7 linked regions of the Canis lupus familiaris genome follow. The protein of the gene in region 6 interacts with the protein of the main gene of each other region in a pairwise test. Links are inferred from orthologs where the notes say so. Each region holds a gene or a part of one and is shown on either strand. Other genes may lie near its edges.

Evidence for each region.
Region 1: the proteins of TFIP11 (region 6) and RHNO1 interact in binary tests that used the Homo sapiens proteins (3 or more experiments, as listed by UniProt). The two-hybrid records come from large-scale screens. The link is inferred for Canis lupus familiaris from reciprocal best matches to the Homo sapiens genes TFIP11 and RHNO1.
Region 2: the proteins of TFIP11 (region 6) and GOLGA1 interact in binary tests that used the Homo sapiens proteins (3 or more experiments, as listed by UniProt). The two-hybrid records come from large-scale screens. The link is inferred for Canis lupus familiaris from reciprocal best matches to the Homo sapiens genes TFIP11 and GOLGA1.
Region 3: the proteins of TFIP11 (region 6) and SSX2IP interact in binary tests that used the Homo sapiens proteins (3 or more experiments, as listed by UniProt). The two-hybrid records come from large-scale screens. The link is inferred for Canis lupus familiaris from reciprocal best matches to the Homo sapiens genes TFIP11 and SSX2IP.
Region 4: the proteins of TFIP11 (region 6) and ODAD3 interact in binary tests that used the Homo sapiens proteins (3 or more experiments, as listed by UniProt). The two-hybrid records come from large-scale screens. The link is inferred for Canis lupus familiaris from reciprocal best matches to the Homo sapiens genes TFIP11 and ODAD3.
Region 5: the proteins of TFIP11 (region 6) and ZC2HC1C interact in binary tests that used the Homo sapiens proteins (3 or more experiments, as listed by UniProt). The link is inferred for Canis lupus familiaris from reciprocal best matches to the Homo sapiens genes TFIP11 and ZC2HC1C.
Region 7: the proteins of TFIP11 (region 6) and THAP8 interact in binary tests that used the Homo sapiens proteins (3 or more experiments, as listed by UniProt). The two-hybrid records come from large-scale screens. The link is inferred for Canis lupus familiaris from reciprocal best matches to the Homo sapiens genes TFIP11 and THAP8.

The regions. Positions count from the first base shown.
Region 1 is NC_049248.1:4,135,977-4,140,501, reverse strand, and holds the start of RHNO1 (RAD9, HUS1, RAD1-interacting nuclear orphan protein 1), read right to left. Parts: upstream 2,851-4,525; 5' UTR 2,739-2,850; intron 2,251-2,738; exon of another isoform or gene 1,261-2,250; coding exon of another isoform or gene 229-1,260; intron 1-228. Other genes in the region: FOXM1 (forkhead box protein M1), read left to right, coding at 229-1,260; TEX52 (testis-expressed protein 52), read left to right, coding at 3,128-3,207, 3,566-3,674, 4,044-4,525. UniProt on the Homo sapiens protein: Involved in microhomology-mediated end-joining (MMEJ) DNA repair by promoting recruitment of polymerase theta (POLQ) to DNA damage sites during mitosis.
Region 2 is NC_049230.1:58,176,418-58,180,803, reverse strand, and holds the start of GOLGA1 (golgin subfamily A member 1), read right to left. Parts: upstream 2,886-4,386; 5' UTR 2,752-2,885; exon of another isoform or gene 2,696-2,751; intron 2,511-2,695; exon of another isoform or gene 2,272-2,510; intron 2,081-2,271; exon of another isoform or gene 2,061-2,080; intron 1,929-2,060; 5' UTR 1,879-1,928; intron 1,019-1,878; 5' UTR 847-1,018; coding exon 712-846; intron 1-711. UniProt on the Homo sapiens protein: Involved in vesicular trafficking at the Golgi apparatus level. Involved in endosome-to-Golgi trafficking. Mechanistically, captures transport vesicles arriving from endosomes via the protein TBC1D23.
Region 3 is NC_049227.1:63,790,363-63,794,280, forward strand, and holds part of SSX2IP (afadin- and alpha-actinin-binding protein), read left to right. Parts: intron 1-1,404; coding exon 1,405-1,540; intron 1,541-3,305; coding exon 3,306-3,381; intron 3,382-3,451; coding exon 3,452-3,641; intron 3,642-3,918. UniProt on the Homo sapiens protein: Belongs to an adhesion system, which plays a role in the organization of homotypic, interneuronal and heterotypic cell-cell adherens junctions (AJs).
Region 4 is NC_049241.1:50,317,898-50,321,678, forward strand, and holds part of ODAD3 (coiled-coil domain-containing protein 151), read left to right. Parts: intron 1-1,177; exon of another isoform or gene 1,178-1,463; intron 1,464-1,554; coding exon 1,555-1,725; intron 1,726-1,816; coding exon 1,817-1,918; intron 1,919-2,002; coding exon 2,003-2,128; intron 2,129-2,339; coding exon 2,340-2,462; intron 2,463-2,971; coding exon 2,972-3,124; intron 3,125-3,781. UniProt on the Homo sapiens protein: Component of the outer dynein arm-docking complex (ODA-DC) that mediates outer dynein arms (ODA) binding onto the doublet microtubule. Involved in mediating assembly of both ODAs and their axonemal docking complex onto ciliary microtubules.
Region 5 is NC_049229.1:48,486,298-48,490,759, reverse strand, and holds the start of ZC2HC1C (zinc finger C2HC domain-containing protein 1C), read right to left. Parts: upstream 2,842-4,462; 5' UTR 2,754-2,841; exon of another isoform or gene 2,691-2,753; intron 2,610-2,690; exon of another isoform or gene 1,940-2,609; intron 1,850-1,939; 5' UTR 1,831-1,849; coding exon 505-1,830; intron 1-504.
Region 6 is NC_049247.1:20,595,407-20,599,793, forward strand, and holds the start of TFIP11 (tuftelin-interacting protein 11), read right to left. Parts: upstream 2,871-4,387; 5' UTR 2,818-2,870; intron 1,134-2,817; 5' UTR 1,125-1,133; coding exon 916-1,124; intron 1-915. UniProt on the Homo sapiens protein: Involved in pre-mRNA splicing, specifically in spliceosome disassembly during late-stage splicing events. Intron turnover seems to proceed through reactions in two lariat-intron associated complexes termed Intron Large (IL) and Intron Small (IS).
Region 7 is NC_049222.1:117,497,239-117,500,172, reverse strand, and holds part of THAP8 (THAP domain-containing protein 8), read right to left. Parts: intron 1,031-2,934; coding exon 838-1,030; intron 396-837; coding exon 4-395; coding exon of another isoform or gene 1-3.

The sequences.
Region 1 (4,525 bases), on a different chromosome or scaffold from region 6:
ATAGCAGCGGCATAGTAAATGCTCTCTCTTTTACCCCCAGAACTGAACTACCACCTTCATCGTATATTCTCGTATTTCATAGTTTGTAAGACTTTTAAAAGATAGAAAATGAGGATCCGTACCAGCCTATGGCTTGATTTAGTCACGATCTTGTGTCCCGCCTGGTGGGTGGGGTGAATGTTAAGGCCCAGAGAGCTTCCTCTCACTGCACCCCTGCTTCCCTTTCAGGTGCTACTAGCTGAGGAGGGGGTGGCCCCTCTGCCGGCCACAGGGCCCCTGCAAGAGGACAAACTCCCGCTCGGAGAAGGGCTGTCTCCTCTGCTTCCAGTTCAGTCCATCAAGGAGGAAGAACCCCAGCCTGGGGAGGAGACGCTACACTTGGGGAGGCCCATCAAAGTGGAGAGCCCGCCCTTGGAGGAGTGGCCCTCGCCGTGCCCGTCAATCAAAGAGGAATCCTCTCATTCCTGGGAGGACTCCTCCCACTCTCCCACGCCAAGGCCCAAGAGGTCCTACAGCGGGCTCAAGTCCCCAGCCCGGTGTGTCTCAGAAATGCTTGTGATTAAACGGAGGGAGGGGCGGGAGATGAGCCGGTCTCGAAGGAAACAGCACCTCCTGCCTCCTTGCCTGGATGAGCCGGAGCCCGAGCTGCTCTTCTCCCAGGGCCCCGGGGCTTCCCAGCGAGCCACCGAGCTTACTTTGCCCACAGAGTCCTCTGAGCCTGCCTCCCGGCTTGGCTACTCCCAAGAGGAGGGAGGACCTTTTAAGACGCCCATTAAGGAGACGCTGCCCATCTCTTCCACTCCAAGCAAATCTGTCCTCCCCGCGACCCCCGAATCCTGGAGGCTCACACCCCCAGCCAAAGTAGGGGGGCTAGAGTTCAGCCCAGTACACCACCCCCAGGCTGCCTTCGGCCCCCTGCCTGATGCCCTGGGGCTGACGGATTTTAGCACCACCCCCCTGAAAAGCATTCCCCTCTTTGACTCGCCCAGAGAGCTCCTCAGTTCTGAGCCCTTTGACCTCACCTCTGACCCCTTCAGCACTTCCTCCCCCTCAGATATGGAAGTCCCCAAGCCAGACTCCCCTGGGCCAGAGGCTGCCAGCCTCTCAGCCAACCGCTCTCTGACAGAAGGCCTGGTTCTGGACACGATGAATGACAGCCTCAGCAAGATCCTGCTGGACATCAGCTTTCCTGGCCTGGAGGAGGACCCTCTGGGCCCGGACAGCATCAACTGGGCTCAGTTCATTCCTGAGCTACGGTAGAGGCCTACCTTACCCTTGCTGCCTGAGCTGTCCATGCTTCCAGGATCTCGGGTGGCTGGGCCATCCGAGGACAGCAGGCAGGGACCGTCCGCCCCTCTAGCTCCACTTTGCCTGCTTATGCCAAGACGGACATCATGCCGTGGCCACTACTGAGCCCTCTGCAAGCAGCAAGGTCCTGGTGACCGGTCACTGTGCCACCACTGCTCCCCAAAAGAATCCGGTTCCTCACTCTCCCTGCTAGGAGCTAAGGGTTGGGAATGGCAAAAGCAAGGGTGAAAAGAGATTAGGAACTCCTCGGACTGCTTACACCTGTGCCCAGGAGTCCCCCACTTTTCCTGATCCTTGCAGGGCAGCCCTTGTAAATAGTGTATATTCTCCAAATTATCCTCTAATTATAAATGTAAGCTTATTTCCTTAGATCATTATCTAGAGACTGCCAGAAAGGTGGGTAGGATGACAAGGGGTTTGTTTGCTCCTGTTCCTTGCTTTCAATTCCTAGAGAAGGGAGGACGCGCAGTGTACGGTTTCTTCCAGGCCCAGGGCACCTGCCTTCAGGGCTCTTTACTGTAGACAAGCAGATCTGCTTCCTAGGGTCCTGCTTATTGTCCCCCTCCCTTCCCACCTTCCCATGTTTCCAAGTCAGCTTTCCTGCAAGAAGAAATCCTGACAAAAAAAGGTCTTTTGTCAAGGGTCAAGAGTTGAATTGGGGGTGGGGGAATGGATGCATCTGAAGCAAAGAATGCAGGTGCCCAGATGTGCTCCCCTGAGATGTTTCTCTGATAACGTCCCTAATCATGCCAGAGAGACGAGCCATTTGCCAAGAACTTGGCCCAAGGCTTGAGAAGACTGAAAGGGCCCTGCCCTGCCTAACTTCCTTAGCTCACACCTCAGCTTTGCTAAGAGCCACCTGAGGCCCCAGCTGACCGCATGCATGTGAGCCAGCTCGAGAACACTACCATAACTGTCAATAAAATCCAGGGTGGAAGTGCTCTCTGTGGTGTGTTGGTGTCTGGTCCCTGAGGCATAAGGAGGGGTTGGGGAAGAACATGGGAGATGGAGATGGTGGTGACAGGGAATTGGTAAGGCCTGAAGCCAACACAAAGCACATGAAGGGGAGTGCTCAGGGCATTGGCCTGGGCTGCCTCCCACATCCTATGCAGGCACACATCAGAAACTGGCAGGTTTCCCAGGCTGGTCCTGCATGGCCAGCCTCTTCAGAACCACTGAACCTAATGGTTAACTTGGCCCTTTGGTTCTCCCTATAAGGGAAAGACCTACAGAGGGGTAGGGCCCTGCCCTTCTGGAGAGTAAGGAAAGATGGGCCCAGTTATAGGCACCTCATGATCATGTCCACCCCAACCCAGGGCCTGGAAGCCAGCCTACCCTGCTTTTCTCTTCCTGCCCTCCTAGGCAAGTCCCTCCCCAAAAACCCCTCTGGCTACCATCTACACATAAGTCCTATCCCCTGCCTGTCTCACCTGAAAGGCAGCCAGGCCCCAAAGGATTGATGAGTCCTCCCAGGGAGAGGTAAGGGCCTCCTCCTGCGTCACCATCCAGGAAGCATCACCATAGCAACCCCAACAGCAAACAATGCTGCCAGGGAAAGTCTTCCCTACCAAGCGGCCTCTCCTGACAATCAGGCCCACAGGTGGAATGGCCAGTAGCCCACCAAGACAACCCAGAGGGCGGCGTGTTCCGCCTCATGTCCAAAAACCTTTCTTGCAGGTAGGAGGTGGGGCCCTATCTCCACAGCCTATCTGTTTGCACACTGCTGGGCTAAGGACTGCCCCCCTGGGGTCAGGGGGTCAATAGATGTCTCTCAGTCCTGTGGTACTATGAACACAGAGCTCAGAACAGAGAAAAGGAGATGCCTGGTTATTACATCTCCCAGCCCCACCTCCTGGGGTGGTCACGTGGAAATGACAGCAGAGTGGGCCCAAGAGGCAGGTGAGTTTTTGTAGTCAATAAGGTCCTAAGGTGGAAAGAAGAGCATAGTCTCATGAGTAATACGGACAGATGGCTCAAGTCCCAGCTCTGCCACTCACAGACCTGGCAACCTCGGGTGAGTTCCTGACTCTCACCATGTCTTGCTTTTTGCATCGTTGAGATGAGACCGTAACAATGCTTGCTCCTAGGATTGTGAGGGTTAATTGAGTTGTGGACGTGTTTAGCACAGTTCCAATACCTACCTGGGCCCAGTTATAGGCACGGGCCCAGTTTATTTCACGGGAGGTGGGACAAAGGAAAGGGAAGAAACCAGCCTTCTAGATGTTTCCCCATACTTGGCTTGTGTTTGGACGAGAAGTGAGGGAAACGCACCCATGAGAGAGAAACGAGTAAGAGGACGAGTCCGGGAGAGAAGAACCCCTGGGCTGCATTCTCCGGAGAATGATTTTCCTTCTACGCCTCGCTCGGTAAGGGGCCTTTCCCCTCACAGTTTCCCTGGGCCCCCTGGGCCCTGTTCAGAGCCCCCACCCTGGCAGGAGCCCGAGGCAGCCAGAGTGCAGAGGAGGGACGAAAGTGAAAAGTGAGGAGCTGGGAGACCGGTGAGGAGGAGAGCAGGGTGGGAAATCCGAAAGCACAAGGTGAGAAACCCAGGGGGACCCTCCAGAGCAGACCGGACTTCTGACGGCAGGCCCAGCCCGCAGACGCCGTGGCCAGGCCCGGCCACCAGGGTCCCGACCAGAAGCCGGGGTGTGAGCGGGCCTGCAGCCTGGCCTCTCCGCAGCTGCTCCCGGGACGAAGGCAGGGCGCTCCCCAGGCTCCCTCTGGTCTCTCCCCAGATGGCCCAGGCCAGCGAGCCCCTCCTGACGTCCCAGACGCGGGCCCGGCGCGAGTTCCTCCTCCCTGGTGCGGCCCGGGCGTGGCCTGGCTTCACCCCGCAGGCCTACCGCCGGCTGGCTCTGAGGCTGCCGCCCTGCACCGCGCGCAAGGCCGAGGTGCGCCGCCGGCTGCTCCGCCCCGAGAAGGACGCGGCGCAGCACACCTGGGGCTTCCACACGTGGCTGGACGTGGGCCGCCTGCCCGCCGCCTTCCCCACCAGGCCCGACAGGCCCTACGATAGCAACGTGTGGCGCTGGCTGACCGACCCCGAGGCCCACGGCAGGCCCCCTGCGGAGCCCCCCATCCCTCCTCCCTCCTGGATGGGTCAGAACAGCTTTCTCACCTTCATCTGCTGCACTCCCATCTTCGTGGACGAGAACAGGAAGAACCAGGTGACTGTCAGGGCCGTGCAGGAACTGAGAGAGCTGGAGAAACTCAAGCT
Region 2 (4,386 bases), on a different chromosome or scaffold from region 6:
GTGGGATTCGATCCCGGGTCCCCAGGATCGCGCCCTGGGCCAAAGGCAGGCGCCAAACCACTGCGCCACCCAGGGATCCCTGTTCATTTTATTTTTATGCTTTATACTTTACATTTATATTACATACATTCCTTTACATATATCAAGAATTCTAAATCATTTTTTTTAATAAATCATTTTTTAAAAAAGATATCGGACTTTGAGAGGATCCTGTCCTATGCCAAAGACACACTTTTAATCCTAAGGCATCACATCTAACCTGACACAACAGCATCTCCACTTTTCTGAAATCTTTCCAAACACAAAGGTCCTTTACAAATAAGGGACATATTGCAGTCATCGGTGTCATCTTTTCATCAACTTTCCCAGTAAAATAGTGCACTCTGACTAACTCCCAGACCATGTTGGGCCACAATATCTTAAAGTATATCTGTCTGCAGAAATAACAGGCCAAGGCTTTTTGAGAAATGAAATATAAAAGATGATGCACAAGGTGTAAAAAGGATACAAGAGGATAATGTAAAGACTATGAAAAAGGACTCCCAAAAAAATAGGGGAAAAAAAGCACCTTAAATTAAGAAGAATAAAATATAAGCCCCAGATAATCTTTCAATTTTAAAAGAAAATAATTATTGAAAATATTCTCCGAAGTATTATTTAAAAAATATATCAAGACTGTACCAAATATTAAAAACTAGAGAATATACTTACAAAGTCATCTCCTGAGTCAGCTCCCATAGAGGCAACCGACTCCTTGCTCACTGACCGTGGGATCCTAGTAGCACCTCCTGGCCTCTGGGACACAGCAGTCTCTTCTGCAATTTTCTTCTTTAGTTTTGCAAACATTTTTTTGCTGTGTGGCTATCCTGCACAGATGACCAGCTTGTGAACCAAACCAGTAGTCTAGTCCTTAGGCCAGCAACCAAGACTTCAGAGACTGGTGCCTAAAAGGTTCCAGACATCCAAGATAGCTGCATTCCCACTTAAATGTGGGCCAAGGGTTTATGGAACACAGTATCTATAAATCAGATGAGAGAGGGCTAAGTTAAACACAGCAGAGGTTTCACCACTGAGTTGCTGTGTTAAGCTTCAGGTTTCAAAATTAAGTTTCTTAATTTTACATGTACATTTAATAGAACACAATTGCTAAACATTTAAAAAACACTCAGATGCTTCACATGCATAAACAGATAAGAAGATCCAGTCTCGAGGAGATGAGGTAATCTGCCAGAGTGTGTGCTTAAGTGGCAGGGCTGGTATTTGAGCCCTGGACTCTGACTCACAAGTCCTGATTTTTTATCATGCCACATTGGCTATGGCATATAACACATTTAGTAAAATTTCCCAGGGTACACATTAACATCACATGATGGTTTGGGACCCTGCCCCCAATATTAACTACAGTTTACTTTTTCTTTCTTTCTTTTTTTTTTTTTTTTGGTAAGATGAAGACAAAAATATGTAACTCAATAGTGGGATAAAGGTGCAATAATCTAGGATGGTTTGCCAACAGCTGTCAACTAGAAAAAGCTGACAACCTAGAAAAAACAGGCAAGCCAGGCAACTACCCTATTTAAGCACCAGATACCCTTAAACATGTCCTGGAAACGCTGCACAGTTTTCTTTTAAGGGTGATTAAAATGACCTGAACTCAGTTTTATCTTCAGAATGTTTTATGTGATATTCAACACGAGATTCAAACATCTTTTTCTCCCGGTGTTGCATGAAACCCTAGTATTCTGGTTCCAACCTTAAGTTACCATGTGCTGCGGAGGGCACCTAAGTTCCGCTCTGAGATCTACAAAATGACTTCTTACCACTCCATATGGTCCATTTAAGCCTGTACAATTCTTCAATGTCTGCAAACCACCTACTCACCTGGCTTATCTACCAGATTTAAAACAGCTTGGAGATCAAAGCATTCTGTCCTGCATGAAAACAAAGATACAATGCATTGGGTATTTCCTTTCAAGCGTAAGGCCAAAATGCTGGGGGTAAATGCAAGAGGAGAGAGGGAGAGTTAACCGGAAGACAGGGGAGAATCTATCACTGCCACAAACCTCAGTGGGCTGGCTACCTTCTCCTTTGCGCTTGTGATCTGCTAAAGAGCTTCACTAGCAGGTACAAAGAAGAGCAATCTCTCATCGGTGCCTAAATTCACTTCACTTTGGAAGCCCCAAAGCAAACACAACTTGGAACGAAACCACGGCTTCCCCCGGGGCCAGTATTTAATCTCAGTTGGTTCTGACCAGTCACACATGGTTTGTTTACCTGGCCAGACCCGGGCTGTCTAGTCAGAGCCTTCCTTGACTCGCACTGAGAGCGTCGCTGAGAAAAAGAAAGGCTACACTGGGTGAAAGAAACTGGCTAACGCCCAGGGTGAGGCAGGTACCTGCCTCGGGGGTCTGGGCCCCACTCGCTCAGGCTCACTCTTGAACCGCCCGCGTCTGGACTGTCAAAGAAGAGGGGGGACTGACTCGACGCCTCTCCCACTTGACAGCATGAGACCCAGGAAAGAGGTGTGACTTGTCCAAGGTCGCTGGGGGGGGAGGGGGGAGGGGGATCCTGAAAGCCCCTGCCCCAGACTCCCAGGCCGGACAGCCCGTCTGCTCCCACCCCCGCCCTTTCGGCACCCCGGTACCGCCCCCCGCCTCGGGTCTTGGGCCGCCCCGTCCGGGCCGCTCCGGAGGCCGACCTAGGCCACCGAGAGGAAGAGGGGCCTGCTGGCATCTCCGGCCCCCGCCCGCGCACCTGCCGCTCTCTCGGCAGCCGGCAGGGCCCCGCCTCCGGGACCTCTCGCGAACGCCGGCCCGCGTCACCAGCCCCCGCGGCCGGCCGGCGAGCGGAGCAGCGACCCGGAACCGCACCTCCACCAACGCGCCGGAAGTGGCTGAGCGCGGGGAGGATCCGCCGCGCGCATGCGCCCGCGCGCGGTCGCCGCGGTCGCCTGCGAGCCCGTCGGGGCGGCGGTTGGTTTGGAGTCGCCGGAGGGCGCGGGCGCGGGGCTGACCGCCGCCTAAGGCTGCTCCGCCACGTCAGCCGGCGGCCCGGCCCGCGGACGGTGACTGGGTGGCCAAAGCCTTTGTTCGGGGTTTTTTTTAAAGGGGGTGGTGCGGAGCGGGGCAGTGGGAGGAGCCTCGTGGCAGCAGGGAGAAGCATCCTATTGGTGGCGGTGGGACCCGCGTGCGTCGGGCGCTCTAGAGCCCCAAGGCCGGGGCTGAGCCGAGCGGGGCGTGTCCGTTCCGCTTCCCGCTTCCCGCTTCCCGCTTCCCGGCCCCAGCGTGCCCTGCCCCGCAGTCTTGCCCACCTGTAGTCGTACGTGATCACCGCAAGGCCCTGCCTCCCTCCTCACAGAACCCTGCGGCTTCAGAAACCAGAACTAGGTCTTCGCGCTCTGTGACTAGTTTGGACTTTGATGCTTATGACCCGTTGCAGGTTAGGTTTTATACCGCAACCCAGGACACACACTGAAAGAAGTTCCCAGAATCCCACCCTTACACGATGCACTCCGACATACCGCATTTCATGAACGAGCTAATGGCATTCCACTACATTCATAATCTAGTGGGCCTCCACCTTGCGACAGGTGAACAAACTCCAAAGAGGTAAAACTGCTCTTGTTCAAAGTTACACTGCAAATTAGCCTACATCGGGTCCATGGACCCTTCAGTGCCAACCAAGCCAGACATTCCGCACTGAAGTCACTCTTGTTCTTGCCCAGCACCTAAAAACAGCCAGAGGGTCAGCAGCTTCCACCCATCCTCCCAAACGATCTTCCCTCTGAGTATGGCAGTTTTTGAGCACGGCGAGATGGGCAGGGAAAACACCAAGATTAGAACTTAGAAGAAATTTACCAACTAGAAGAATAAGCATGGAAGCTAGGACCCCGAGAGTCGGAAGTGTCTCAGGTATTATCTGGAAGAAGCAAACCCTAACAGTTTAGGGTTTGCTTACTTACGTTGTCAGCGATTCTGAAGAAGTACCAAAAACGTTAAGCAAATAATGTTTATTTTTATATTGATGATACACTTAATATACACGTGGATTCAAGATACAAAATTCATTTACAAGAGTTCACACCTGATGAATGTAGTCACATTCCTAGAGAACATTTATCAATGCAAAAATGTTTTCAATACAGACAACAAAAATCAAATTTTCTGTGATCTTGTTATTCAATAAACATCAAAACGTTCAACTTTCCATCCTCTACCATTAGTGCCCTAAAGGTGGTAGGCACAGTAATAGACAAAAACGTTGCAAAGAAGGGCCTACTGAATCCACTCTGCAGAATCACAGTGTTTTTACTATGAAATTCATTTAGTGAAGTAGTTCAGTGAAAGGCTTGCTATCCTTTATGACAAATCACACATCATACAAGAGTTG
Region 3 (3,918 bases), on a different chromosome or scaffold from region 6:
GTGTCTCTGTCTCTCTCTGTCTATCATGAATAAATAAAGTCTTTAAAAAAAAAAAAGCGGGATCCCTGGGTGGCGCAGCGGTTTGGCGCCTGCCTTTGGCCCAGGGCGCGATCCTGGAGACCCGGGATCGAATCCCACGTCGGGCTCCCGGTGCATGGAGCCTGCTTCTCCCTCTGCCTGTGTCTCTGCCTCTCTCTCTCTCTCTGTGTGACTATCATAAATAAATTTAAAAAAATAAATAAAACTGAGAAAGTTAAAAAATAAAAAATAAAAAAAAAATAAAAAAAAAAGCAATTCACATTTAAAGATCCTATTTCTGATTGTTAAAGACATCAATTCTAGTCTCAGTTCAAGTGTTTACTTAGTATTTGGATCTATAGATTTAATACATTTGAAATTATTATTTTTTTAAATTACATAAGAAACATTTTGTTCTCAGTGTTCTGCAGTTTGATCCCTGACCATCTGATAACTATAAAAATACAGTATATATTTTCAGTATTTTATATAAATTTTTTTAACTATAATTAAGGACTTTAGGGATGGAGTGCATTTCTTTAATGACTTTATAGTGGTTTAGCCAGATTTGTTTTGTCATATTTTGACTATTTAGTAATGTAGTTAGTGGATAATGAAATACTTTAATTAAACTGCAATGTCACTTACACATTTCCTTGAGTTATTTCACAGAAAATTTTGACTTGACCTGCTGGTTCCACTTCAGTGTTTAGAATATGGTTAATTTTTAGTAAGGATTAAGTTACACATGATCATCTCTAGCAGTATTAAAAATGTTTGTATAGAATACAACACACGTCCAATCAAGGCCTGCCTGAGAAGCCACAGTAGATAAAAACCTCGAACAGTAGTAGGGCCTGGCATATAGTAGGCACTCAGCAAATATTATTACCAGGTTCTGCTCTTTGGACCTACTCTAATTTGAGAACTATTTATGGTCAGATAAAAACAAACCTGTTTATGTGCTGGGATGTGCTGTGGTTAATTTGTCACAGATTAATAAGGTATAAAGCGATTCAAGTCAGTAGTATAAGGAAGTCACTACAAATGATCAGATTAATTCTTGTCCCAGATGAAGTTTTAATCACTTTAATACTTCTGTAAGAGTTTCTGGTTTCTAAAGGAGCAGAGTCTATATATAGGGTAAAAGGGGAAGAAAAAGATAATTTGGGATGTTAGTAGCTCTGGAAATTTAAGAATTAAAAAACAAAAACTTTATGTGAATCACTTAGTGATACTTTAAAAAGTGATGTCCAGTGGTCATTGAGAAGCATAATCCTAAAATTATTTTATGAGGAGGTGGATGCTAGAACTTATTTACTTTACAAATTTTAGCTGGGGTTATCAATCATAAAGGGACTCATTCAATGGAAATGCTATTTTCAGGTACAAAAATTACAAAATATCATTGCAAGTCGAGCTACTCAATATAATCATGATATGAAGAGAAAAGAACGTGAATATAATAAATTAAAGGAACGTCTACATCAGCTTGTTATGAACAAGAAGGATAAAAAAATAGGTAAGAAACAACTGGTTAAGATAGAGGAAAGTAAATAAGCTAATATGCTAAGAAATAAATGTGAACAATAGCACAGTAGCTCATGAAGTATAATTTTTATGCTTCATGCAATTGTTTATAGCCAGTATATATCCATATAAACTAGAAATTGAGGCAACTTATTAGTGAAAAATAATAATTTTGCTGTTTCCTTTGTTGCATATAAGCATTATATGTATCTTTTTTAATATGGTAGTTGTAGTTCCATAGAGGAAAACCCAAGCCAGAGGATATTCTAATCCTCCTCAGAAAAAAACTGATAATAAGAAAAATCAAGATGAGTTTCTGAGTATCAAAAAAAAGTGTGATTTTGGAATTAACTTCATAAAATTATTCATCAGGCCAAATTATTTACATCTGTTCCTTTAAAGAAATGTAGCTGTGCATTTTTGAAGCACCTAGTCTAAAGGATGAACTGTGAATGTTAATGCTTATGCTTGTGCTTAAGAGTCTTTTGAAAAGCAATTTGCAACTTCATCCAAGTATATGCATACCTTCAGGTAAATCACATAGATGAAAAAGTAAAAACACACGTACACAAGAGTAAAGCTCTGCAGATACAGTTTTGCTGGCCTGGTAAGATGCAGCCCAGGAAATCTATGCATTTATTTATCAAAGAGTGGTTTCCAAGTGGACTATAGGTTGTCCTCTAACCTACATTGTACAGTAATGCCCTAAACTGTGGTTTCCGAAACTGAGCTTGGCTGACACAACAGCTGATGAGCAGATGTCTCAAGCTGTCACATGGTGGGCTGTGTCCGCTGTCAGCAGGCAGCTCAGTGCTGACTGCATCACTGCCATTCTGCACAGCAGAGCTTTTGCGATTAGTCAGCTATCTTATTTTAAAATTACTGAAAAATGAAAATGGAATAAGCAATTAAGACAAGGTTGAAAGTCTTAGGATAATCAAATTTAAACTTCATTGGTTAACCTCGTATTCATTCATGAATTAAATAAAGAGAAGGATGAAATGCTGTAAGTATAAAATGTAGCACCTAATTAGAGAAATTTATTAAAGATTTAACTCTGGTAACAGAGCCCTTATTTTATTGGGGCCTGGCTGTTTTCTAGTGCAAACCTAATTGGAAGTGACAGTTTCATAATGATTTTATCAAGTCTAAAATTACAGTAACTTCTTGTCCTCTTATTTCCTTCTAGTACTGTCAGGGGCCTTGATTCCTTTGATGATGATGACAACACAGGGCTTGGCAAACTTTTTCTGTAGAGATTCTAATAGTAAATATGTTCAGGTTTGTGGAGTCTGTAGTCTTTCATCACAACTATTCATCCCCACACTTGTAGTATAAAACTAACTAATATGAACAAATGGTGTGGCAATGTTCTAGCAAAACTTTATTTAGAAAATCAGGCAGCTGGCCTACAGGCCATAGTTTGCTTATTACCCCAATGATAAAATTAATAATGATAACAAAATAACATTTATCAAGACTTTGTTAAGTGTCTTAACTTCTTTTACCCTTCACAACAACTCTTTGGTAAATACTTTCATTATTCCTTCTGTACTGACAAAGAAACAGGCTTAATCAGTGTCGAGATCTCAGTGCTTAACAGTGATGGAGAACTGGAACCTGAAATGTGGGCTGTTTGAGCCAAAATCCTAATCTGTACCAGGTTGATTTATGTGTGATAGAGTGTGTTAGGGTTTTATACACTTTAACAAATGTGTGGTAAGAATTGGTTTTGTTTTGCATGTTCATATTTTTAGCTATGGAAGTTTTAAATTATGTGGGGAGAGCCGATGGAAAAAGAGGCTCCTGGAGGACGGGTAAAACTGAGGCCAGGTAAGGTCCAATTTAAATTGATATATTTCATCAGACTTTTCTTCCTGTAACTGCATTTTCATACTGACAGTTTCTTTCTCAGGAATGAAGATGAAATGTATAAAATTCTCTTGAATGATTATGAATATCGTCAGAAACAAATCCTAATGGAAAATGCTGAACTTAAGAAGGTTCTTCAGCAAATGAAAAAGGAAATGATTTCTCTTCTTTCTCCCCAAAAGCAGAAACCTAGAGAAAGAGCAGATGATAGTACAGGAACTGTAAGTGGCTCTTTCCTCTCTCCTACAGTTTCGGATTGCTAAGTCGAACAATTAAAACATTAGATAGGTCTTCCCAGTGGGGACACTCTTGATGTTTTGGACAGGACACTCACTACTGTACCAGCTCCAGTCACTGGGACGACGACAACAAAATGTCCCTGTTTGTTTCTAGAACTTGGGAAATGATGGAGATGACTTTAGAAGGACTTAGTGCCAAACACTGTGATAAACACTTTGTGAGCATTGCCTCATTTCACTCTTCTAATTTGATGCTTTT
Region 4 (3,781 bases), on a different chromosome or scaffold from region 6:
ATATCCTCCTGGGGAAAAGACAATGGGGGGGGGGGGCGTAGGAGGGGAACAAGAACAAATACAGAAAGTAATTTCCAGTAGTGATAAGAGAAATGAATAAAATAGCAGAGTGACTTCCTAGAGATGGATGGGGCAGAGGTTTGCACTTTTTTTTTTTTTTTTGAAGATGTTTATTTGAGAGAGAGAGAGTGCACACACGCAAGCATGGGGTGGGGAGAGCAGAGGGAGAGGGGAAGCAGACTCCTGCTGAGCACAGAGTCTGCTGTGAGGCCCTGGATTCCAGGGCCCAAAATCATGACCTAAGCCAAAGGCAGACACTGAACCAACTGAGCCAACCAGGTGCCCCAAGGGGTTTGTACTTTAGATTGGGGTGGGGAGTCAGCAAAGCCCCCTCTCTCTAAGAAGGTGATATTTGAGCTGAGAATGAGACAGGCAAGAAATGATTTTGGGAAAAGTGTTCTAGGCAGAGGGAACAGTGAATGCAAAGTCCCTGAGGTAGAAACAAGGGGTAGAGTGTTGGAGATGATAACATCTCCAGTGCGGCAGAGGAGTGTGTGAGCGGGGCTCCATAGGAGGTGAGCATCAGGAGAGTCAGCAAGGGGGCACCTGGGTTGCTCAGTCAGTTAAGAATCTGACTTCGGTCCAGGTCATGATTTTGAGGTCCTGGTGTTAAGCCCTGCTTGTTCCTATGCCCCTCCTCCTACTCATGTTCTCCCTCTCTCAAATAAATAAAATCTTTAATTAAAAAAAAAAAAGAAAAAAAAATAAAAAAAAAATAAAAAAAAAATAAAAAAAAGGATCAGCAGGGGCTGAATCTTCCAGCAGGCTTAGCTGGCCATGATAAAGAGTGCAGGTTTTATGACATATCAGAGAAGTGGGAAGCAGAGTGTGAGGAAGCAAGAATGGAGGTCAGATGGTGAAGATGGTGTTAGCTGTACTCAGACAAAAGTGGTGAAAATAGGAAGAAAAAGATATCTCTGGGAAAACCTTTGAAATAGAACAAAGCATTGATAATGAATCGGATGTAGGTGGGAGAAGAAAAGGTGAGGATATTGAGCTGTTGGACTGAGCACCTGGAAGGATGAAGCTGCTATGAGCCGAAATGGAGAAGATCCAAGGGAGGCAGACTTCGGGGAATCTCACACACTCAATTTTGGACATGATAGTTTCGAGATACCTGTGGAGACACCTGGAAGGCAGTGTAGATTGATACGGGTATATGACCCTCTAGTTCTGGGAGTGGGGCAGAGCTGGGGGTTAAATCTGGATGTCTTCAGCCTGTGGTCCAACCATGAGCCTGGATAGGTCCATCAAGGTGGTGGGTATGAACAGAAGTGAGAAGAGCCTGGGGCCGTCCCTCCTGGGGGCCAAGGAAATGGACAAGGGACAGCCAGGGTGGAAAACTGGCATCCTGGAAGATGACGATCTGCAGGGGATCAGCTTGGTCAGATGCTGCTGAGACCCTGGGTGATAAGAAACAAGATGTGGGAGAAGAAAGGGAGGAAGGGTTAGGTGAGAGGGTTGAGACTGCCGCTGGGGCTTGCCTCCCCCCAGCAGGCCTTTGAGCACCTGGACCACCGACTGAGTGAGAAGGTGAAGCAGCTGAACACTCTGCGGCACCAGGTGGGCCTGCGGCAGAAGTGGCTGGATGAGCTCCAGCTGCAGCACAGCCTCCGCGAGCTGGAGATTGCAGAAATACAGAATGGCAACACGGAGGTGGCCAAGGTGAGGCTACCCAGGGGTGGGAGGAGGGCAGGGATATCCTGGGAAGAACTTGAGAGGGGAAGAGACTCAGCCCAGCCTTGCCTCCCTCTAGACCATGCGGAACCTGGAGAACCGCCTGGAGAAGGCCCGGATGAAGGCTGAAGAGGCTGAACACATTACCGGTGTGTACCTGCAGCTCAAGGCCTATCTCCAGGTGGGGACCAGCATGGCTCAGGGGTGACGTGGGAGGGCCAGCTGCCGAGGCACAGTGGTCACAGGGCCCCCACCCCACCCCCAGGAGGAGAGCCTTCACTTGGAAAACCGGCTGGATTTCATGGAGGCTGAGGTGGTGAGGGCAAAACGCGAGCTAGAGGAGCTGCAAGTGGTGAACCAGGAGGCGTTCAACGCCCAGGATATTGCCAAGGTGCCAGCCCGCCGGGCCCCGGGGTTCCTGCCCAGACGCCATGGTCTCCTGGCCCCCAGAATCCGGACCCCAGCTGTCCCCGAGCTCCTCCCGCCTGTCTCCCGGATGCCGCAGCCTGGCCCAGCTGCCTGAAGTTGTTGGGCCAGGCTGCTCCGGCCCTGAGCCACGGTGGGTACCAGCTGATCCCCCTGTCGCCCTGCTCTTCCTCCAGAACCAGCTGCAGTATCTGGAGGAGACCGTGTTTCGAGAGCGCAAGAAGCGTGAGCGCTACATAACCGAGTGCAAGAAGCGGGCGGAAGATAGGAAGCTGCAGAACGAACGCATGGAGCGCAAGGTGACCCTGTCCAGGGGTGCGGGGTGCAGGGGGCGTTCAACCCCAGCCTAGACCTGGCCCGGCCCCACCCCTGCCCTGCTCTTAACATTTCTCCGGACTCCGCCCAGCGCCACCTCCTCTTGATGCCAGGGTTCCTCCCACGAACCTGCCCTCGCCCTCCTCCCATCAGATTGCCTGTCTGGAGGAGCTTCCAGATGTCCCCTCACTCGCTGGTGGTCCCCATCCTTCCCCACCTGATTACCACCCCCCCACACACACACCTAAATCTGATCAGGCCTCTAGCACCTCCCCTTACTCGAGGCCCCGCCCCTGCTCTCTTGACCCCGCCTCTTGCACGGCCCCCGTGCCTGCCCCTCGCTGACCAACCCTTTCCTGCCCTCCTGACCCCTAACTGGGTGCCCCAAGACTTTACCCTGGCTCCCCAGTCGGGCCCTGCCCCCTCGCGGTCCCCTGCCCTCAATCCTTGCCTGAGAGCTGACTCTCCCGCCCTGGCCTCAACCTGTGAACAGACCCAGCGTGAGCACGTGCTGCTGCAGTCGGAAGATTCGACCCAGGACAGCCTGCGCGTCAAAGACAAGGAGCTGAAGCAGCGCTGGACCATGTACCAGACAGAGATGCTTTTTGGCAAGGTCAAGGATGCCACCGGCGTGGCTGAAACCCACGTGAGTACTGCCGGCGGCCCGCAACGCTCTCCGCCCTCTAGTTGCACTCAAGCTGAGCCCAGGCCAGTGAAGCCAACCCAGCCAGCCTCCCCTTTCCCCGGGCTCAGTTCCTCAGCCAACACAAACCTGCTCTATTCGTAAAAGACACTTCTTCTGCCTCTAGCTACTGCCCCGTTCTGCTCCTCACAGCAAAACCCACATGAGCTGTCTACCCTCGCCATCATTCCCTCTCCTGTTCGCTCTAACACTGGCGCTTTCCTTGGCGTGTCAGCTCTGAGAAGTGGTGAGCTTTGTCTTTTCTGTGTTTACGGCGCCTGTACCATGGTCTGGGGCACTGCTGACTGCCCACTGCCACTCTTGGACCCTGGCAAGCCGGACCCCTGTCCAGTTTCTGTCTTTTGAGCAGTCTCCCAGTGCTGCTGCTTTCATAGGATAACCCCCAAAGAGTTCTGGGACTCCAAGCTATGGGAGTCATCTGGGGCGCTGTGGCCAGGCACCTTTCCAGAAATTGGCCTGGTGGGCAACTACCTCTGAGATTGGCCATGTTTCCTCACTGGATTGGGCGAGATTCACAGTCACAATGTGGATGGCAGGTTGATTTTGAAGAGCAACTATGCTCACTGCTACCCTGCACCACACGCTGATTTTGGCTGATTC
Region 5 (4,462 bases), on a different chromosome or scaffold from region 6:
ATATGCTGACTCTTGTTTGAGAGAGCACATGGGCAAGTGGTGTGAGGGGCAGAAGGAGAGGAAGAGAGAATCCTCAAAGAAATTCCCCACGGAGAGCAGAGCCTGATATGGGGCTGGAGCCTGATGCAGGAGCCCAACGTGGGGCTTAATCCCAGAACCCTGAGATCTGACCTGAGCCCAAATCAAGAGTTGGATGCTTAACTGACGCTTAACTGCCACCCAGGCACCCCATATATGCTGACTCTGCCATTCAAAACTGTTTGTGATTTCAAGCAAATTAAACTCTCTGAGATTTGATCTTTGAATTGATAAGAGACAACGAAACCCTCACAGGGTTGTGCTGAGGATCTTATGATAAACTCCTATCACAGTGACTGGCACACAGTAATCAATAAATGTTCTTTCTCCCTGTATGACACATGAGTTTTTTTCTAAAGAAAACTGATTTAGCATCCTTTTATAATGATCCCCAAAGTCAAATCCATAAGGCCCTGGCCTTTTTACCTTGACTGGGGCTGGCCCCTTCCAGTTCAGGTACTGCTCTAGTTCTGTGCCCTTGGCCCGGGCCCTGGAGGAGTCAAACACTTTCCTCTTGGAACCCTGCATCCTGCTGCAGACGTTGGAGTGTCTCTCCAGTCTGACCAAGAGAAACTTGCGTCCACAGTGGCTACATTCGCCAAGTTTGGGGTCTTCAGTGGAACAGCTGGAAACCGAAGAGTCTGGTCCCCTAGACAAACTAGAATTGCTGGTGGATCCCCACAAAACACTGCCAGGCCCTTCTGAAGACTGAGAAAACTCCTTTGATGACTCTGAGACTAGGTCTCGGATTCTGTTATTGCTTGCCACCAGTCTTTCCCTTTTGAGCTTCTGTATTCCGTAATCAGAGAACTGGAATGGACCAGAATTTTCTTGAGACTGTCCCCAAAGTTCATCTTCTCCCCTGTCTCTACTGAAGACCTCCTCAGACCCGAATTCTGGGGAGAAGGTAGGTTTGTATGTGGTGTTGCTATTACCTTTAATTCTCCTCCTGGGGAGTGTCATTCTCTGTAGCTCTCTTTTTTCATTTTCCTTAGCCTGTTCCTTTTCTTTCTGGATCCTTCGGAGTTCCTCCTCTGTCTTCTTCAGCTTTTCCCTAAGGAGGGTTTCTTTTCTCCGGATTTCCTCTTGTAAGCTCTCCCCTGCAGCTTCTAGTCTTTGGATCTGCATCCATTCGGTCCTGTTGGGGTTTGCCATGGCTCTCTCCTCCTGTGTGGCAGCAATGGCATGGAGCACAGATGCATTCACCCAGTTCCTTGAACCAAAGCTGCTGTATGGAAACTCTCTTGGTTCAGGGGGTCTCGGAGAGACATCCTGGTCCCCATCAATGCCAGCTTCACTTGTACTGTGAGACTTCCTATGGAACACGGGTTTCAGCGGGTATGCCCGGTCTACCCCAACTCGCTTCTTCGTAAAGGGGATGAATTCCTGATTATTTGCTTTGGGATACCAGGACTGAGAATTTGCTGAGTAAAACGAACCCTTTGCTTGGCCTTGGGAATCGCTTCTTGAATCTTGCTGGCTGATTCCAACACAGTGGGGATAGGAGCAGCTCCCAGCTTTTGTGCAGGCGTTCCATTTGGAGTGAGTGTAGAGATTATCCAGCGTCAGCTCTTTGTTGCTCAAAAGCTTCTGCTGGAAATTGTTCCTCAGGTGCCCCATGGAGGACCGCTGAGAAGAGTCACCTTTTTCATAGGGCTCTTGCTTAGCTGAGAGGAGCCCTGGAGCTTCCCTTTCATTATATGGAAGCATAACGCCCACAGGCAGAGGTGGTGCCAACTGGAGGCCAGCCATTCAGGGACCGGACTGAAGCCTAGGGGAGATTTAAACCAGATATATTGTGAGGAGGTTTTCTGAGGTTACCCCCGGCTACTAAAGTAAACAGTTTATACATTTGTCCTACCTATTCTCTTGAACTTTTTAGGGACAGTGGTGCTGGGTCTGCCAGAACTTTCCTTCAGTAAGGATTTGGTGAATGCTTATTATTTCCTGTGGGTGCCTATTAGATCTTGAGGACAGAAAAACGAATGTGACACGGGTGTTCCCGCCACCTCGCTTTATTCCAGTACCAGCCTCTGCCATACACAGCGATGCTCCTGCCATACACAGGAGACTCCTTAGGTGGTGGAAAGATTTACTGGAAAGGGCTGTCGGACTCAAAGTCAGGCTTTAGGCCTGTGACACAGGACCAGCAACTTTCCCTTGCTGGCTGGCTTCTTCACCTATCCACTGAAGTTTCGCTCAGAGTTACAAGACCTTAGGACTCTGAGTCCGGGCCTACGGTGTCACAGGTGAGCAAACTGCGGCTCGGAGGTAGGTGGCCCGCACAAGGCGCTCTCAGGGCTTCCCCGCTGCTGGACTCCAGAGGACACTCGAGCCGCCCGGGCCGGCCGCAGGTGCCCGGCCGTCACACCCGCACCCAGGATCCCCACGGCGCGGATCGTAACCTGAGAGCTGGAGGCCACCTGACCCGGCCGCCGCGCCGCCCGCCGCACGGGTGCTGAGCTCACGCACCGCCCCAGAGTCCGCAGCAGGGGCGCCCCCGCTGGGGCCTCCGCTTGGGGAACACAGCCCTCGCTCTTCTGCCCATGCGGCCGCCCTTGGGAGGCGAGGCGCTGACCCTACGTCTGCTCCCCTCGTCTGCTTACGCCTACCTGAGGCTCTGGCGGACCGTTCCTGCTCAGGGGAAAAGAAAAAAAATAAATAAATAAACCCACCCAAGACTTAGCTTTCCACCCCCGACCGCCCCCGGGCCGAGCCTCAACCGCCCGCCGCGCAGGCGCTCTGCGCGGGCCTTTGTTGTTCCCGTTGCCTGGAGACGCGAGCGCGTGCGCACCCAGCCCCGCGCACGGCCCCGAGGCGCCCGCGACGGGGGTGTGGCCAGGGCGAGTGTCCCTTGACCCGGTGTCCCGCCGACTCCGTGGCTCCGTCCCGCCCTGCCCTTGGGGAACGGGAGAGGGGGCGGGAGAGGCGTTTCTGGGGCTCCATCAAAGAACGTGTGTTTTTCTGAGAACGATGCTCCCAGCCCCTGGGGCGTGCCCTTCTCTGGCAAGAGTCGGAGCCCCGGGAAGGGCCCGGGAGTCGCGGTGCAGGCCTGCGGCGTCCGCCCGGCCGGCGGCAGGGGGCCTGCTGGTCGCCTTGCTCAGCGCGCTCGGCTGCCCCGTGCGGGCCCCGGGTGTGCGGCCCCTCCCGCCCGTCCCAGCCCGCAGTTGGGAGCTTGCGGTCGGACGTCAGCTGCTCGGCGAAGTTGTGCCGCCCAGGGTCTTTTCCGAGGTAGTTTTCGTAGCCAATCTAATTATTTTGATATGATGTTTTGCTCTCACGTGGTAACCCTGGCCCGTCTCTTCGTGAGGCCCAACGGTGACTCAGCCAAGTGTAACGATAATAAAGTTAACTACCGGATTGAAAATGATCGGTGTAACCTGGTCCTCAGCGCTGAACGACATTCTGTGACTTGTTAACATTAGAAAGGGGTTTATTTGTCTTCATGCTTTAGTTCGTTTGTGTAAGATGTTTGGAACAGGCGGTTTACTTTTTTCCTGTAACTACTCAAAAAGATTCATGCACTTGGGACATAAAATGGACAGCAGTAGTCGGTGTTGATGCTTCAGCATGTCATTATTACAGCTTTACATGTTACAGAGACATTCCTTGGTGGGCCCTCCTCCGGGCCAGTCCTTTGATTCCTTATTTTCTTTCATAGCTGACTCAACTGCCTTCTCTCTCTGCAGTTTCAGACATTTCCCGCTACACTCCAGGCCCTAATTATGTCAGCATCTGGCCTGCCTGTCATCAACTCCTGCAGCTCCCCTCCAGTCTGGCTGAATTGCCCAGAGTGCCTCCCTTCATCCTGAATTCCTTCCCTCTGGTGTCTGAGGAAAAAGAAAATCTTTCTCTTTCCTTGTGGTCTGTTGAATCAGTCCCTTTCTGTACCCTCCTGGACTTGACTCCATCACGTTACCCCTCCACCTTATTCACTTCGAGTTGTATCTATCCACATACTCCTTCTCTTTGGTTTTAAAATATGTTTAACTTTGCCCTGCAAAGCAAACCTCATCTCCCATGGCCTGCTGCCTCTCATCTTAGGGTCTCATGGATTTCTCCTCTTCTCCTCAAGCCTTCTTAATAGACAGCTATACATTTGTGGTCCTCATTCTTTCATCTGCCCTTTAGTGTCCAGTCCACTGTTGTCCGGCTTCCACCCTTTCCATTTTATTTAACTGCTGGGCTGTTGGTGACTTCCCAATGGCCAAAGACAAAAGTTCCTATTTCTTTAGCCTACTCATTTGCCATCATTGATTTTTCACTCCCTTGGAACTCTCTTCTCACTTGCTCCTTCGCCTTCTTGGTTTCTTCTTTCATATTTTTGCTTCATCTTCTTCCAGGTCTCGGGCATTTATGTCCTTTCTTTGCCTGCCCACCAAAT
Region 6 (4,387 bases):
GTTATAGAGAATGTTAATTCCTGACCTCTGATCTATTTATCACCCACTTTTAGGTTTCCTTGCCAGATGAGGACTTGATCTGACCTCCATACTTTCTCCCCAGCCTCCTTTGTGAAAAACGCACAGTGTCAATGGGCTAGAGCCTACAAACCACAGACGAAACACAGAGACAAAGCCAAACTCGCTACACGCTCTGGTCAAGTGAGCTGTGGCCACTGCACACATGACCTCTCACACTGGGGAGGACGACTACTGGCCTGAATCCTCCTCTCCTGCCTCATGGAGTTTCCTCTTCCCCTGCAGCTCCCTGTCAACTCTGCACACTGACAGGTCTTCTCCAAAGGTAAGTGCAGCCCACATCATCCGCTCTACCACAGACCTCTTCTCAAACTATGCCCCCTCTCCCTCCCTCACCGCAGCCTGCAAAGCTTTCTGTACCCCTGTGGACACCCACCGCCTCCCCTCAGGAGCCTCTGCATACCCGTGCCTCTCCTACCACCCTCATTACCTTCTGCTGTAATAGAAACTCAAAAGTCACTTCTCTAGAGAAATCTTCCCTCACCTCCCAGAATAGGCCAAACTCTCTCTCTCTCAGGTCCTAAATCAGTTATAAACTTCCATCGTATGAGCTGTCAATTAATGTGTCTCCATGCTCTAGCGTCTGGGCTCCCAGAAGGAAAGGAATGGGGCTGCAGTATACGACATGGTACATATAACTGCTCGTTAAACATGAAGTGATGGTTAAATCAGCAAAAGAGCAGCACTCCGGCCAAAGAGGAAGCTGGGCCTCCCTAGCTTATATCGTAGCTACAGGACTTGGTAAGGCCAGGAGAAAGGTATATTTAGTGGGCTATCTTCCCACCACCCCCCATCTTCCCTAAAGCGAGGAGGAAGCAGTCTCATGCTGGCCAGTACCGTTTGCCTCCAAAGCTGGGCCTCTCTTCATCTGAATCTCTCTCTGCCCACACTCCATAGGTGGCCTCTTCCTTGGTCTGCCAGTGGCGCTGCCGGTTGGGGTTAAATTCATTCTGGAGATCCCAGTCGGTGATCTCAAAGTTCTCCCGCTCATCGTCATCATCATCCATGTGGCCTTCCCCATCCCGGTACAAGTGGGACAGTGACATGACAGGTCACTAAAGAAAGGAATAAAAAAGGCACGTGGTTTGTGGTAAGTCCTGAGGGGAGAGCAGCAGTAGGCTTCCGTCCCTGCTCCTCACTCCCTTCAAACTTCCTCACACTCAAAGTCCCAATGATTAAAAATCATTGTTAACAGTTCAATAAGGCAGACATTAAAAACATATTTCAGAAAACAAACACTATTTAAACAGGTGGGACAAAAGACTGGTCCCAACAATATGCGATTCCCTGTCCTGGTCAAGGTCATAAAACTTTACACACACTCACACCTAAATAACCCACAAAAAAATAACTCGGTATGTTATTCTACTTATTACTGCCTCAGAAACGGGGTGGGCATCTTCCTGGAACCCCCCCCCCTTTTTTTTTAATACCATGATGACACTTTGTTTTCTTTCATACTGAACTGGCATGATATAGTTTAGAATAGAGAGCTGGTCTGCAGTATCTTCCAGAACCGCAGAGATCCTCAGCACATCTAGAATGGAGAGTGGCTCTACGATGTCTGGGAGGACTTCTTTTTCCGGTTCTTCAGCTGTTTCTTTTTCTTCTTCTACAGCACTGGGTGGCTCGCCTGTCACGGACACTGTCACCTCAGAATGCCAGATGTTTGCTGGAAGATTTGAGGCTTCTAACTGGCCTTCTCCCATTCTTCTTAAATTAGTTGTAACTTCAATGGTACTTTTACAATCTCACAAAAAAATGTAGTTACTCTGGAGTCAAAACGAAGGATCAACAACAACTAAATATGAGGAAAGAGTTACTATATCTGGACCCTTGGCGGTTCACCACCGGGAGTGATGGTTTTTAGAACACGCTTCCTGAAGTATATTACTTGGTGAGACCCTAAGACTTAAAAGTTTTCCTCCCAAAACATGAACTTCTTCTGAAGGCATAAACCCTACCTTAACAGAGATTTCAGCTCCTGGTAGCTGAGTGATGAGATTCAGCTGACTCTACCCCCACCCTCTGGGAATGCCTGTGAGCCAGATTAAACGAGGTGGTGCCTAAAAGACGCTTAGCTCAGGGGTGCTTGGGTGGGCCAGCTGGATAAGCATCTGCCTTAAGCTCAGGTCAAGACCTCGGGGTCCTTGCTCGGCGGGGACTCTGCTTCTTCCGCTCCAGCTCGGCCCCTCCCCACCCCGCTTCACGTTCTCTCTCAAATAAGTATTTCTTAAAAAATTTAAAATACTAAGCTCAGAGTAAAAACGCTCCGGGAGCAAGGGCTGTTACGGTAGCCCCAGATCAGGTTCCTCACCGCCACTATCAGTAGGTTGGGGAGGGGACCTCGGGGAGGACTGCTGAAACCCCAGCTCCGGCGGGTCGGCGGCGGCGTCGCGGCGTCACCACAGCCGCGGGCGGCAAGCAGCCTTCGCGGGGGCCGGCGCGTCCGGGCGCTAGTCCCCAGGCTCCCCGGCTCACTGCACCCCCGCCACGCTGGCGGGGCGCACAGAAGGGAAGCGCCCCCGAGCACTCGGGGCTCCGCAGCGCCTCGGCCTCCCCGGGCCCCCGAAGAGCCCGCGCGGGGCGGACGAGCCAGGGGCAGCACCGGGCCTCGGTTCCGCGCCGACGGCGCTCGAAAGCAGGCTTGGAGCAGGCTGCGCGGAGGGGCTGCGTCCCCCGCACTCACGCCCGCCGGCGGGGACGCCCCACCGCTGCCCGCACCCCCGCCCCGCTCACCTCCGCAGGTCCCGGGTCCAAGCGCAGCTACCGGCCGGAGGCCAGGAGCCCGGATGTGCCCGCGGCGGCGCGCCGGAAATGACGTACAAGGGGGCGGGGGCGGGCGCGGGGCGCTCTTCGTCACGGCCGCGACGGGCGAGCGCGTCCCGGGCTCCAACGGGGCGGGGCCGAGTGCGAGGGAGGAGGCGGGGCTTCCAGGGCCTCGGATGGCGGCGGGCGCGCTGCCGGACCTCCCCGACCTCCCCGACCTCCTCCCCGACCTCCCCGACCTCCGTGCCGCGCCCGGCCCGCGGGGACCCCGCCGCCAGTCTGAGACTCGACTGCGTAAAAGGGGCTAGAGGACTGGCGCACGGGGCAGCGGTGAGGGCCAGCGGGCGGCCGCGGGGCGCGGGGCGGGGGGCGCGGGGCGCGGGGCCAGGCTGCCGGCGGGAGCAAGGTCTCGGGTGCCGTCGGGGCCCCTGGCCGAGCACCGCGGTGGGCGCGGAGCTTGAGAGCGCAGGGACGGGCGGACCAGGGCCCCACGCGCTCCCTCCGGGAACCGCCCCCCAGCCCGTGGTCGAGACCTTCATTCCTTCACCGATTGATAGGACCGTGCGGAGCCCCGCGGGCCGAGGCTCAAGGGCTTCGGGCCGCCCGGGGAGTGGCGGCTGCCTCTGCACCCCGCAAGCACCCGGGCCCGGGGCCCCCCTAGTCCCTGCGCCTCTGGAAGCCTCGCTTTCCTCTTCTGCAAAATGGTTGAGGATCCGGGGAGATGAAATGTGCAAGCACAGGGCTGCCTAGGCGTGTCAGCCCCTAGTCTTCGCTCACGTTCTTTCTCTCTCCTTCCTATGATGAAAAGGTGCAAGCGGCAGTTGTTAAGAATACACGGAGCGCACCCGGCTCTTAGTCAAAGATCTGGATCCAACTTCCCGCCGTTGTGAATGAAACCAGAACCCACAGGAAGGCAAGCGACTGCCAGCTTCTCGAAACACGCGCTGTGACTCCCGTGGTCTCTGCGTCCCCACTGACGTGTGTCACCGAGGCCGACACACAGTGTGTAGTCAGGAAAGATGTTAGAAAGTGAGGTTTCATAGAAGAGAGGGCAGGAGGGGAAGAGAGTCTAACAGAGGAGAAGCTCCACCAGGGAGCAGAGGGAGGAAAAACAAGGAGACCAGATAGACCGTGTTGAGTCTGGGCCTGGAAATGTATAGGCATCTGGTGATAGGCCAGAGCCAAAGATAGAAGCTCGCTTGGCTTCTCTGTAGCTCTCTCTCCAGCTCTACAGCTGACTTCATGGAGCAGCAGTTACTCAGATCACGAGGGGCTGATGCTAGTGGATCTGCTTCACCAGATGGACCCTCCACGTGGCTTCTGGAGAAGGGGCCTCTGGGGACGGTGGGGTCACTAGGGGTCACTAGGAGTACAGGCTCTGAGCGCAGGATCAGGCTGTGCATCCCCAACAACGGGGCAAGTGGACCTCATGTACTGTGCGATAGGATGTCCTGAGAAGGTCGTAGCACCACCCCCGTGATATTCCTGTCAAAGATGCATACCTGGGACAGAATCACTAGGATACTGGAGACAAGCCCAA
Region 7 (2,934 bases), on a different chromosome or scaffold from region 6:
CACCAGGCATAGCAGGCCCTGGAGCGCCTAGCTGGCAGGCCCTCCTTGCACAGCTGCTGTACCAGCTGTTCTAGGGCCTGCAGCTGCACCTGATGCTGCTCATGGTGCCGCTGCAGCCTCCACACCCGCTTCTGCAGTGCTCCCAGGACACTGCCCAGCCCAGCCAGGGAGTTCTGGGCCTGGACTCCAGGCTGTGGCCTGGCAGGAGCAGGAGGAGGGGGCAGGGAGGTCAGGAACATGGTGGCCGTGGCTTCAGGGCCTCCAGATGCTGACCCCAGTACCGCAAGATGCATAGGGCCAGAGGCTGAGACAGTTGGATCCGGAGACAGGGGCATGGCCTCTGGTGAAGAGGGAGACTCGACTGGCTTCTCAGTGCTTCGGGAACTCTGCTGCCTCTGGAAGAAAAGGCATGGGATGAGAGGCATCAGGGTCAGACTTTAAGGGGTACTGTCCTCAGGGATCCCTGGGTGGCGCAGCGGTTTGGCGCCTGCCTTTGGCCCAGGGCGCGATCCTGGAGACCCAGGATCGAATCCCACGTCCGGCTCCCGGTTCATGGAGCCTGCTTCTCCCTCTGCCTCTGTCTCTCCCTCTCTCTCTCTCTCTCTCTCTCTGTGTGACTATCGTAAATAAATAAATAAATTAAAAAAAAAAAAAAAGGGGTACTGTCCTCAGATAAGGCCAGACCTCAAGGAGGAACTTCCTTGAGGGGAGGGCTGAGGGTCAGACTGCAGCAGGGACTTCCCTCAGGAGAGGAGGGCTGAGGATCAGACTCCACAGGTCATTTCCAGGTGGGGAAGACAGGGTCAGACTCCAACAGTGGGACCTCCTTTTGCTCACCTTAGCAGGTGGTGCTGGGGAGAAAATGGATGGCACTGCATCAGGCCGCAGGTAGCGCACACCCCAGCGCCACTGGAAGCAGGAAGGTGTGAAGTGCTCACTGCACAGATGGTGGTGGCAGCTGGGCACCCAGTCCTCATGGCCCATGTGCCTCAGCCAGGCCTGCAGCCGGGGGCCATCCTTCAGTGGGAACCTGCCAGGGACAGTGGGGTTACAGGGTCAGCAATATCAGGTCAGTCCCACCTCTCTCTGGGGACATGCACACTCAGAGGTCCCTGGGCTCCAAACTTCTGTCTACCTAGGCCAGAAACTGGCCCTGCCTCTTACCCAGAGTCTCTCTACCACCAACCTACATCCCAACCTTCAGCTTCACCATTCATTCATTCATTTTAAAGATTTTATTTATTTATTCATGAGAGACACAGAAAGAGAGGCAGAGACATAGGCAGAGGGAGAAGCAGGCTTCCTGTGGGGAGTCTGATGCCGGACTCTATCCCAGGACCCCAGGTTATGCTGTGTCAAAGGTAGACACTTAACCATTGGGTAGACCCAGCACCCCAAGAGCCACCCAGGGATCCCTTTTTATTTTTTATAATGAATTTATCTGAGACAGAGAAAGAGAGAACACTTGCCTGTGCGTGAGAGCACGCACAAGTGGGGGGAGAGGCAGACGGAGAGGAAGAAGGAGACTCCTCACTGAGCAGGAAATCGGAAGTGGGGCTCAATCCCAGGATCATGACCTGAGCAGAAAGCAGATGCTTAACTGACTGAGCCACCCTGGTGCCCTCAGCTCCAGCTTTTTTTTTGTTTTTTTAAAGATTTCATTTATTTATTCATGAAAGACAGAGAGAGAGAGAGAGGCAGAGACACAAGGCAGAGGGAGAAGCAGGCTCCATGCAGGGAACCTGATGTGGGACTTGATCCGAGGCCTCCAGGATCACACCCTGGTCTGAAGGCAGCGCCAAACCACTGAGCCACCCAGGCTGCCCAGCTCCAGCTTTTAAACACCCAACATCGGCCTACCTCTCCCACCTCTGCTGCCCCTCCCTTCCAGCATCCATACTCTCCTGACTGGACTTTTACAGCAGCCTCTTTCCCAATCTCCCGACCCATAGCCACAATCTGTTATGAAACTGGGCAAATCTAGAATGTGTCCACATTCATGGGGACGGGATGGGGATGGGGGGGAGTAGGGTGGGGTTATAGATTAAAAGAAATGTAAGAAACATCCAATTGCAGATTGTGGTCCTCATCTGCAACAAACCATTTCATAAAAAGACATTTTAACACAGTAGGGAGAAAACTGAACATAAATTGGGTATTGGATAGCTGTAAGAAACTAATCTTGCTAGGTATGATAATTGTATTGGTTTATGCTTCTAAAATAGTCATCCGTTGGAAAAACATTCTGAATATTTATGGGTAAAAGAACTAATATCTAGGATTTACTTTAAAATCATGCATTAGGGATCCCTGGGTGGCGCAGCGGTTTAGCGCCTGCCTTTGGCCCAGGGTGCGATCCTGGAGACCCGGGATCGAATCCCACATCGGGCTCCCGGTGCATGGAGCCTGCTTCTCCCTCTGCCTGTGTCTCTGCCTCTGTCTCTCTCTCTCTCTCTGTATGACTATCATAAATAAATAAAAATTTAAAAAAAAATAAAATAAAATCATGCATTAAGGGACACCTGGGTGGCTCAGTGGTTGAGTGCCTGCTTTTGGCCCAGGGTGTGATCCTGGGGTCCCAGGATTGAATCCTGCATTGGGTTCCCTGTATGGAGTCTGCTTCTCTCTCTGCCTGTGTCTCTGCCTCTCATTATCTCTCTCTCTCTCTCTTCTCTCTCTGTGTGTGTGTGTCTCTCGTGAATAAATAAAATCTTTTTTAAAAATCATGCATTACAGGGTGGGAGCAGATAAAAAAGATTAGCAAAATGTTGACAATTGGTGAATCTGAGTGACTATGCATGAGAATCCATTCATATAACTTTTTTAAAAAGATTTTTATTTACTTATTCATGAGAGACACAGAGAAAAAAAGAGGCAGAGACACAGGGAGAGGGAGAAGCAGGCTCCCTGTGGGGAGTCCAATGTGGGATTCAA